Schizosaccharomyces pombe: one gene and its partner. The protein of the gene in region 2 binds, or shares a complex with, the protein of the main gene of each other region. Each region holds a gene or a part of one and is shown on either strand. Other genes may lie near its edges.

Region 1 (5,151 bases), on a different chromosome or scaffold from region 2:
AAGGAGTGTGAGTCATGCTAAACTAAAGAAAAAAAAACAGAGATGAAATGCAGAAAGGTCACAACAAATGAATTTCGAGAAAACTAGTGTTTACACGTTTACGGAATTAATAATGTTTATATCTAATTGAATGCTCCTACACTAGTAATCACCAATCGACCAAAGAAATAAGTACGAGATCAAACGACAGATACCTAGTTATGATAATTCTTTTAAAGACTTATATCTCCGTTAACTAACGTAAAGAGTTTGGTTAAAGACAAGTTGTTGTGAGACATCGCGGGGCATGTGCCTTAATTTATATCGTTATGCTTACGTGCTTGTAAACACTATATTACGCATTTGAAGTAGAAAGCACACAAACAAATAGAACCAGGACACTGAATAATTAGAACGTTTGGTTAATGAATTTTTACATAAGCAGTTATTAGTTTTAAGTTTATAGGTTTAATGGAGTTTGCTATCCGATCTCAGATTCTAGGCGTTCGTACCGGACCCTAGAAAATATGCGACAGACTTAACAAGATGCGTTTCCCAATTAACAAGCGCTCTAGTTTTTATTAGGAATTCAAAGAATACTGCTCTTTTTGTACTGTGGTCAAACAAATGGTTTTGACAATCAAAGAGGCATATACAATAAGAATGATTTGAAATGCAGCTGCATGCCGACTGTCGCATATTTCGTGAGCAAGAACTCATTTTGTTTACGGAATGGCGTTTCCCATTGAGTTACAAATACTATAGCATTACTATCATCAGCAAACTTCTACGCCATTCAACGTTTTTATTTAAAGAGAACAACACGTAAATAAAAACCAATCGTATAAGATAAACATTAAAACATAAGAACTACTTTACAAAGACTTTTTCAAAATAAAATTGAGAAAAAGGGCGAAAAAATAATTTCTCGTATAGATACTTCGAGCTCGATGGGAACGAGCCTCAAAAAGCCTTGCTTTTAATCTCGCCTTTCTTTTTAATAAACAATGCATTTTCAAAATCTCACCGAAGAAACCAAAGAAACATAGAAAGAATAGGCCAGACAATTCGCTTGAAGAGAAGATAGACAACCACAAATATGAAGAACCCAAATCCCGAGACGACTAAAAAGTAATCACTTCGATCACTTAATTTGAGCGATTTGATTATCCGTTTACTTGTATATAAAACGTCCTCTACACCAAAATATTTCTCTTGTAGAGTTTCTAACAAGTTGGTACTCGAAGACAACTCCATTGCATTTTCGGCACTCATATCCACTGCCTGTACCATTTGTGCGTGAATATCACGCATAGCCGCCGTGACCTGACTGGCGCTTGTAAGATAAATATCATCAGATTGCCACGAACCAGAGTTATCCATTGAACGCTTTTGAAGAGAACCATCACTTGGTGAGGTAATTTCCTCTTCATCTACAATCTTACCTATTTCTTGTGCGATAGGCAACCATGGTTCACCACTAGCAATCTTATTCCGATATCTTCTGTTCAACCGAATGTATTCTTGTACAGCCTTTTCATATCGTAGAACTGAGTCTAGCTGAATGGATGAGTATTCAAGCTCTACCCTTGCAGTTTCCCATATTTTTCTAAACTCTCGAAAATGCCTTTTAATAACTTCAACGCTTTCTGACTGTTGTAATTCAACAACTTTTTCTTCTAGTGCATTCAGAACGTCGGCCATCGAATGCTATGTTCTCTGCTTTATTGAACAAGTTAAAGGAGAAATAGTATTATGAGATGCAAGAGGAAAGAACGATAAAGGTAAATGATGATGAGTGGGAAACGAATGATGGATGCACTAACAATATAGCACAGCTGAAGGTGAATATAAGACTATACATCGAAAGGTTCGGTATATAGAATAAGGAAAAGAAATCAAATGCGGAATTATAAATAACGAGAAATAAAGATGCTAAGAGAGAGAAAGAGACAATAAAGATAGAAGGCAATAAGGTGAAATAAATTAGAAAGTGTAAATGGTAAAGGGAATATTGTATCGATCTTTAATAAAAAGTCGAAAACCACAGAAATGTTACTATGCACGCAACTGTAGAATGAAGCAACCTTTCATTCTAGTTCAAACGACGCTAGACACAAGTCGGTGTCTTTTTTGTTCAAAAATATTATACATATTCTGGGGTGAAAAGAAAAAATTTGATAAACTTCCATTTGCTTTATGATTGTTCATTAGCCAAAGGATGTTCAACGATTTCACCAACTTTTGCCTTATAACCCACAGGCAACGCTTGCAGGAGTAAGCGTACATCTTCAATTTTTTTGTTTTCCAACTCTTTACGAAATGCTTCATCTTGACGAGGATCGAGATGTTGTTTCATAGCTTCGCGAGCATCTTCACGTATCCATAATGGTTCGTCGCTCAACTCAACCATATATTGACAACTTTTTAGAAAGCAATCCTTCGAGCAATAATAGTTGAGTCCACCGTAGACCTTCATTCCTGAATCTTCTAATTTATACCTAGTTTGCTGCTTAGGTTCATAAGGACAAACGGGATAACCGCACAGATTGACGAGTTTACGCTCCTTCACCACTTGATCGTAATCACTTTTTCGAAGGTATTTACGAGCTTCCTCTAAAGTTTCTAGGGAAACCGGATCAACCAGCTTTTCAATCCATTCGAGGGCAAAAAAATCATACTGAAGTCGACTGCGTGCTTCATCTATAAGACTCTTCGACCACGTGATCAATTGCTTTTCTTGAGTGCTTTGAGCATTTTTCGGCTTTTTGAGAATTGATTTTTTGTTCATATCTGAATTGGATATATTGGAGTCAGCTGGAAAACAGAAGGTCTTAAAAATCGCTATTAGGCAGATATGAGTCAGTCAAGCATTGGAAGGAGGAATGAGCATCGTAAAAATACTTTAGCGCCGTGCAATTTTTGTTAAAGAGTTCTTGAGTTACGCAATTCATTTACAGCGAACTAAGACAGTGCGTTGGCCTTGGTACTAAAAATTTTGATAGAAATTACCCTCTCAGTTGAGTGTGGACAAAGGAAAAAAAATAAAGAAAAGCATGCGTTGCACCAATCATGTAAAGAAAGTTTTGTAGGTCTCTTTAAGAAAATCATTTTACCGTTAAAAATAATAATGATAAATTTACATCCACCCTATTCATATCTTCCACTAGTAAATAACTGGTCCTTAATCTTAATGATTCATATCCATATCCATACCATACCCCACACCCACACAGTAATCGTAAATATAGCAAACCAACGATGCTGTGGCTTCGTTTTAGGATTGCTAGTGTATCCTTATGTAAAATAGGAAACCAGATCCAATTGCGTAAATATTATTATAACGTTAAATAACAAAAACCAATCAACATTGATAAGCAAAATAATACCCAATAATCTTACAGTGCATTACGCTACCTTTGGCTAGTCGAACGAATCACTGTCAACAAGATGTTACGATTGGAAGGGAATTCCCCAGATCCTTTCCCCACAATGTTCATTCATTGAAAATCGTCTCACATGTAGTCAGTCGCTTCTTCACGTGCGATATTATCATTTGGGTGTTTATTGCTGTTAAGATTGACCAAACTTCTTTGTCTGCACAAATCGCGTGCCCTTTAGGAACCAAAATGACAGTGTACTGGCTTAGATATCCTAATAGAAGAGATTAACGATGACGTTCAGCTTCGCTATCATTTGTATATATTTTTAGTGGTAAAATAAATCGGCGGAGCCTTCATCTTTGGTATCTTGTTTTCTCTTTTTTTGGCTTTTTGTATATCTGTGTTTTAGGAAAAAAGAATCAGTGTATTGTATATTGAATGGTACCATTCTTTTTATACTGGTTCATTGTTTATCTGATCTCTCTTTGTACTTAAAAAAAGTATTAGCGGATCGCAGGCTCCACGATGAGCTCGTTTCCCACAAGAGTGGTTGCACTCTATCCTTATAGAAGCAGCTTCTCCGATGACTTGGAATTTGATCCAGGCCAAGTTATCGACGTCGTCAGTAATCTGGACGGCGACTGGTATACCGGAACATATGTGGACTCGGACGGTAACAGGAAAATTGGCTCCTTTCCAAAGGACTTTACCGAGCCAGCAGAGGATGCTGTGTTTGTAGAACGTGCTAGCGAAATGGCTCTTCATCAACCTACGCCAACTAGTGCTGTTCATTCTCGCAACTCTTCCTTAGGTTATGCTCCTTCTATTACACGTAGCATCAAGTCGATTTCCAACAATACAGAGCATCTTGGTGCCGATACAGAATCATATCTTTCAGCTAATGACTTTATTGACAGTACAAGTGAAGCACTTACGAAGATAGTTGATGTGGATACATTGAGTGCGCCATTCGGTAACGACAGCAACTCGCGTCCACATTCTTTAAAAAATGTGGAAAAATTGCATACATTCTCAGCTCCATATACCATATCTGAAGAGACGCCATCTTGCTCCACTGAGAACGACTCGCTACCACTTACCGCTACTCACACTATTACTGGTGGTGAGGATGCTGCTACCGGTGCTGCTGTAACCAACACCACCACTACCCACATTACTACTTCCACCAACACGTCTACCGTCATCCCCTCTAACCCAAATTCAGTTTTTCTTGTCGATTGTACTCATTCACAGTGCCCAACTGATTTACCAAACATCGCAACTACCCAACACTCTTTAAGGTATCTTGATAACGCATCTGCATCCGCAATAACCGTTTTGGAACGCACTCATCCCGCAGCTTCTTCCACCATGGCTACTGAGTCCTCCCATCAATCTCCGTCTGCGGACTCACAGGCAGAAGAATTATCAAAGAGCCAGCGAGTTGCAAAGGATGACGATCCTTTTGTTGTTTCCAATACTGCGAATTCCGATGAGCCAGCTTCAAGCTCAAAGCCCGCTAAACCCCTTACTGATTTGAATCGAGCCTTTTCTCAGCGCCTTAACTTGGATCCTCAAAAGCCCGGTAAATCACAGGGCGAAATCAGTGAGCAGGAGGAAGATGAATATGACGATGCTGAGTCAGATGAGATGCACAGTCCCTATAGCACTCACGAACCCGAATCTGAACCTGAAGACCAGGATGAACCATCGGAAAAGGATGATGAGAATAAAGATGTAGAGGAAGAACAAGAACAAGAGCAGGAGGAAGAACAAATTGATCCCGAAG
Region 2 (6,796 bases):
TACGCACAATCTTTCATACATTCCTACTCTTGCTCTTTGAGTGTTGACACTTTTAATTTTATACAAAAGCTTTCAGTACACCTTCTATTAAACTATATACTGGCTATTTTCGTTCTTTCAATAGAATTGTACTTGTCTAAATAAACTTTCCAATACTACTACACTCACATCTCCTTCTTTGTTTTATTTATTTTCATTTAGTGGAAGGTATAGGGTTCTCTAGAAAAGGTTTACTAATTTTTTGGAAGACATTGACTACAAATGGAACCATTAGATGCTGGCAAGAACTGGGTGCATATGGATGTCATTGAGCAGTCCAAGGAAAACATAGAGCCTAGAAAAGCTGGTCATTCAGCTTCTGCACTTGCAAAATCTTCGTCGCGAAACCACACCGAAAAAGAAGTTGCTGGTCTGCAAAAAGAAAGGATGGGCCATGAACGAAAAATAGAGACGAGCGAGTCTCTTGATGATCCACTACAAGTTTGGATCGATTATATTAAATGGACCTTGGATAATTTCCCTCAAGGTGAAACAAAAACTAGTGGACTGGTAACATTGTTAGAAAGGTGTACTCGAGAATTCGTACGAAATCCGCTTTATAAAGATGATGTTCGGTATTTACGAATATGGATGCAATATGTAAACTATATAGACGAACCGGTTGAATTATTTTCTTTCTTGGCACATCATCATATTGGACAGGAGTCCTCGATTTTTTATGAGGAATACGCAAATTATTTCGAGTCTAGGGGATTGTTTCAAAAAGCTGACGAAGTTTATCAGAAAGGAAAAAGAATGAAGGCTAAGCCATTTTTGAGATTTCAGCAAAAGTATCAGCAATTTACTCACCGTTGGTTGGAATTTGCCCCACAATCATTCTCTTCAAATACAAATTCGGTTAATCCTTTACAAACGACATTTGAGTCAACAAATATCCAGGAAATATCCCAGTCTAGGACTAAAATTTCTAAACCTAAATTTAAATTTTCTGTTTATTCAGATGCGGATGGTTCTGGAAAGGATGGCCAACCTGGGACCTGGCAAACTCTTGGTACAGTTGATCAAAGGCGTAAAGAAAACAACATATCGGCTACTTCTTGGGTAGGCGAAAAGTTGCCTTTGAAATCTCCAAGAAAATTGGACCCTCTTGGGAAATTTCAAGTTCATTGTGATGAGGAAGTATCGAAAGAATAACCGATAAAGAAAAGATTTAAAGTATTGGCGTTATTAGATTAACAACTATTGTACATCATGACTCCCGGAATAAGAAATAGGTTGAAACATGCGAATTTTAAGGGTTATACGAACTTAACATAAAGCATCTTATTTATACTACGATTTGCAGCTTTTTTTTATATTTTACTCTCAAATTAATTATAGTCAGCCATAAGTTAATGAATATGATATAAATAATTCTTTTATAGACAATTTATCAAAATAATAAACAGATAGCTCGATAAGTAATTACACCTCTATACAAGTAAAGCTAAGACCCCTTAGCTATAAATATTTTAACTAATGAGAAGGCCCCTCAAAAACCACAGAAGCAGCTTTGCCCAAACGATTCATGATAGCTAGCCCTTCATTTTCCTCGGAGACACCTTCAACCAAAACAAAATCAACTCCCTGCAGATCCAAATCTCGCAATTGAGCGAATAAATTCTTTGTAATTTCATGTCCATCCCTTCCCATATGCAAAAATACAAACGGACAGTGAGAAGGGAATGACTCTTCGTTCCAACGTTTACTACATAAAACACCAATCTTCTGCTTTTCCTTAGTGATTCCCTGCTCAGATAAATACTTTTCAAAAACACCGTATGCATCAGATTCTGTGTAATTGACAAAAAGTAGCACTTTGGCAGTTGGAGAGTAGTGTCTGTATTTCATACCAGGAGTTTGAGGGATGAAATCTGTTTCCATATCACTTTTTTTAGCTACGAATACTTTTGTTCGCTCCCAGGCCCCTCCAGAGCTTTGAATTTCTTCTAAACTTATGCCTCCTGGCCGTAAAATTACGGGAGGATCACAAAGTCCATTTACAACTGTACTCTCCACACCAACACCGCATGCTCCCCCATCTAAAATTAAAGGAATTTTACCTTGTAAATCATTGTAAACGTGCTTAGCTAACGTAGGAGATGGCCTTGTTGAAGCATTAGCCGATGGTGCAGCTAACGGCGAATCTGAAATAGAAATAAGGGCAAGCGCAACAGGATGTTGAGGCATGCGAACAGCAAACGTTTTTTGTCCTGCTGTCACAATTGGTGAGACCGGGGGATTAGCCTCGTCAACAACTGGCAGCAAAATTGAGAGTGGACCAGGCCAAAACTTTTTAATCAACGGTAAATAAACTTTTGGAATAATCTCCTCTGAGTCATGTGCTTGATTTTTTACTTCTGACTTTGCTTTAGGATATGCACTCAACAGCAATCTACGTAGCTGATCCAGAGAAGCAACATGTACAATCAAAGGGTTATCAGCAGGGCGGTTCTTTGCTTTGTATATTGACAAGACTGCTTCAGTCCTTCGGGCATCAGCACCGAGACCGTAAACTGTTTCGGTAGGAAAAGCAACTGGATAATCGGTGTTTCTCAATATATTCGCGGCGTTCTCTAATGCAGAACGAGTTTCTGAGGGAGGTATGGACACCCTTGTGTGTTCAAAAGGATGTTCCGAATCATTACTAGGCTTTTCAAAAGAGATAAGGCGAGTATCAACTGTTTGAATTTTTGTTTCCATTGTCAAGGAAGAAAACCTAAGTTTCTGGCTTACTGAGGCCAATTTTGCTATAAAATTGTAATACTTCAGCTTGTTTTATGTTAATTGATTTAGAAAGAAGAAGCTAAATGCTGATAGAGAGAAGGGTGAAGTTGATTGCTATTATTAAGTTGAAGCGCATCATTGCTGGTTGTCGACTCTTGCAAAGTAAGAGAAATAATTGTTGAAGATATATTTAAAAACTCAAGATTATTTTACTCTAAATACGAAAATAAAATCTCGTTTGAGAAATTTTACTAGAGTAGTGATTGACGACGATCTTTACTTAAAATTTGAATTTAGCTACAGAGGTTGTAAAAAAGAAATGTAAGCGCGACAATGATTTCACGAATGAAAAGAACCCACTTACTGTTTTTATTTGTGGGTTTTTTTTTATCGTTTCTGTTATTTGGCAGGGTAAGAATATATTCTTCCAATACATCCCTTTTGACTAAGCATTTAGTTAATTTGCTAATGTCCAATGCATCAATCTAAATTATATAGCTGAATGTTTAACAAACAAATTTGACTTTGAATTAATCGAGACTGATTGTGAACTTCTATAAACATTCGATCATACTAGATTTTTCAAGCTACAATTTTACCATAATCTATTTCATAGTAAATGGCCAGAAAATTTTTGGAAAACTAACGTACCCAAGATGAATTATAAGGAATTTTTATTTGGGCGTGCAAGGAATGGTCGAAAGAATAAGCATAAACATTATATTTACATGAGATTATAGACATGAACTTCACATGATCAAAGAAGAACGAGTTTCATTCCTTTGTCATTATTGTTACAATATAAAGTTTCAGAAGAATGAAGAGAATTAAACAATACGATCCAAGGATAGCAATAAAAGTCCCATAACGGTAAAGATGCAAAAAAGCAGACGAGCGGTCCGACTACTTCTAGATTTGGCCTTGATTAGTTGTTGATTACCCCCAGACAGCGAATCCATGACATTAAGGGCATCATCATAAAGTTTTTCAGCCGCACTTGATTGAATAGATAGTTGAGCGGATATTTCCGACTGAAGTCTAGTAATATCAGCCAAAGATTTCCCTGTATCACGTAAACGTTCCATAGTATGTTCAAATTCTTGGAGTAAAACATCGTTCTCTTGCTCAAGTTCTTGAAGTTGCTGTTGAGTAAAAAATGTTTGTAATTCAGATTCAGGGATCTCAACAGCTGAATTTTCATCAGTAGGATTTTTTGTTAAAAAGTCTGAAGCAATGTTTCGCTTTTCCTGACCTCGTTTTAATCTCAGATCTTGTAAATGATATAGAACAGAAGAAACATCGGAAAGTTCAGACTGCAGATACCACAGAACAGATGAATGGTGGGCGACTAAAGTTTCCTTTTTCGATAATTTACTAGGGTCTCTTAAACCTTGCAGCCAACCACTTTTTTTAGGGATTTGACTTTGTTGTTCTACTCATGCAATTAGCAAGCATGTCCCTGTGTTTTGTTTATAATTTAAGTAAACATAATTTTACCAGTATTAAAATTTTAAGCTTACCTTTCACAATCTCCTGCAACTTAGCTATTTGATGAATACAGCTACTGATTGCCGAAGAGACTTCATGTTCTATTTCATCCCTTTGAACCTCATCTAGCTCAAGCTTTGAAAGCTCCTCAAGTGAACACTCCATTAAAGGTTTTGAGAGTCTTTGGACATTTGAAAATGTTCTGTCCTTTAAATAAGCTCCACGAATCTTTTTCAAAAATACTAGAAGATTAACAATCGTTTCATGCTGCTAACGTTAGCAATTTGAACTCTCTGATTAGATATAGAAAGCAATAACAAAAGTTAATACTGTCAAAAATTTAAACCAATCCCACTCAATAATTAATCGTATATTATGGTAGCGCATCTCCACAGTGATCAATTGAGTTGAGGTTAAATTTCCGATTGGTTCAATAATTACAGAAAACTCGTCCTCAAACTTACAATTCTATATCCTTCAGCCAAAAAAGGATCCGTATAACTTATTCTTTTCAAAGGAATGTTTGCTGCATCAATGTCGCCATTTTTTGTTAATCCAAAAAACTCATTCGTACGACTCGTCATTCAGAATTTGAGATGCTAAGAAAGGAGAAATATAAATCCCGGGTTAAATGAATTTCAAATTAACAGAACAGATGTTTAGAAAATGGTAGCATTCCATATCCCCTTATGAATAGTGACACGGTAAACGGAATTGAGAGACTTAAAGGTGCTCGTAACAAATGTTCAAAAAAGCAAAAAAAAATACTCCATTGTACGAGTTTTGTTTATTTACTTCAAGTCGATGTCTACAATAAATGAAATTAAGCTAAAGTTTCGCAATTTTTGAAGTATTTAGAAATGAGCTATTTTCAAGTAAACAAACAAACGTAACCAGTTATACACCTCACAAGAATGGAGCGCAGTCAAATTGTTTACAATTTTTGAGTTATTTTTAAAAATTTAGCTTGAAAAAAGTTGTTTGTGTCCTTTATCTCGAAGAAATAAGGTTTTTGTTTTGCTGGTGTTGAGGTTGCTATATAATAACATGGTTTGGGCGACATAAATTCATCCTTTACCAACGCTCTTCGAAACGTTAAATTTGCATATTTATCAAGCATTTTATTGCAATAAGGCTAATATTATTAACTTTAATTGATTTTAACCTTCAGTATTTGCTTATTGTTATACAATATACAGTGATTACCCCTTTTTCTAAAAAGCTGTACTTTCGCATCACATCTGATACCTGCGTTCCTTTCAACTTTTTAATATAATCATCCAAACGATTTTAAAATCTGGTTGACATTACCGCGGAGCTTTAAGCTCTGCATTACGATATATTTTCTCTTTCACCAAAGATTGCTTTCTTCCTTACCATTTATTCCTTAATCAGCTTCGTTAGTATCTTTTTTACAACCAAATTACCAGTTTGGTATGTTAATTCATAATGGCATCTAAAATGCCTGAAGGGTCTCCCCCTACTAGTCGTTCTATTCAATCTCGAAATTCCAGTTACTCTACCTCTTCCAACGAACGTATTGGAACACCCTCTACGATTTCCCTATCTGAAAATTCAGATCTTTCTAAATTACAAAGTACTAATGATTTTGAGTCGCGAGAAGATCTCTCTCTTACTTCCGATGACAATAATGACCCCGAATATGTTATGTGCTACAACACTGTTTATCACCAAAAGACAAAAATAAATGATAAACTTTTATCCGAAACTGAGCAGTTACGTAAAATTTATCCTTTAGAATCCCGTGTATTTCCAAAACCTACCATTGTTAAAGAGATTACCAACGAGCGAACCAAGCGCTACACTTTTTATGACGATGATGCTCCTCTTACTAACCAACATACTGTTTTAGATGAAGCAACTTATAATCGAATTTTAAAAAGGATAGACTTTTTCATTGAAAAAGTCGTTGAAGTCCCACCTACTTACCATTTTTTATCGCTATTAAACGTTCAATTACGTATTCAACCAATTTGGTGGATGGATGAATTTGCTGAAAGAAATGGTATTGAAAGTTTACTGTCTGCTTTAAGAAACCTGGGTCACTATCCTGAACGTGCATCTAAAACACCTCTTGAATCCCAAATAATACAGTCATTATTTCACTGTTTGAACAGCGAAAACTGCCGTCGTCGTTATCAGTCTTCAGCTAAATGCTCTGTTCCAGGATTTAATGCTCTAGGTACTATTGCTGAGACTGTGCTTTCAAAAAGTTTAAATTCAGCTCGCATGGCTACTTTTCTCCTTAAATTCCTTTGTAATAAAAAGGGGTTGAGTTACTTCAAAGCTGTAATCAGGGCTTTCGAATGGCTCGTCGAGCAAAAGTTATCAAAAACTCGGTTTAGCGCATGGATGCATTCCTTTAATGATGTGATTACTGGTGTCCGAGTTTGTGCTGATTCATCTCCTCAAGCGATTGTTCACATGGACGAATTTGAAGATACGGACTGCTTGATTGATTACCTTGTTGCAACTTTAGCTCTCATTCGAGATTTATGTGCTGCTCCACCGGATTTGCAAC

Evidence for each region. Proteins that work in one complex are often made in the same cells at the same time.
Region 1: ufe1 (region 2) and sec20 share a complex: the UniProt entries of both Schizosaccharomyces pombe proteins name them as parts of the SNARE complex.

The regions. Positions count from the first base shown.
Region 1 is NC_003424.3:4,102,940-4,108,090, forward strand, and holds sec20 (SNARE protein Sec20), read right to left. Parts: upstream 1,780-5,151; 5' UTR 1,684-1,779; coding exon 1,003-1,683; 3' UTR 794-1,002; downstream 1-793. Other genes in the region: SPOM_SPAC23A1.14C (cystathionine gamma-synthase-like protein), read right to left, coding at 1-16; RNA polymerase II CTD phosphatase Rtr1, read right to left, coding at 2,177-2,770; bbc1 (SH3 domain-containing protein), read left to right, coding at 3,888-5,151. UniProt on the Schizosaccharomyces pombe protein: SNARE required for targeting and fusion of Golgi-derived retrograde transport vesicles with the ER.
Region 2 is NC_003421.2:997,427-1,004,222, forward strand, and holds ufe1 (SNARE protein Ufe1), read right to left. Parts: upstream 4,908-6,796; 5' UTR 4,839-4,907; coding exon 4,719-4,838; exon of another isoform or gene 4,691-4,718; intron 4,556-4,690; exon of another isoform or gene 4,522-4,555; coding exon 4,287-4,521; intron 4,199-4,286; coding exon 3,594-4,198; 3' UTR 3,286-3,593; downstream 1-3,285. Other genes in the region: mitotic spindle checkpoint protein Mad3, read left to right, coding at 262-1,194; SUA5/yciO/yrdC family protein Sua5, read right to left, coding at 1,516-2,742; formin For3, read left to right, coding at 5,704-6,796. UniProt on the Schizosaccharomyces pombe protein: Syntaxin required for targeting and fusion of Golgi-derived retrograde transport vesicles with the ER.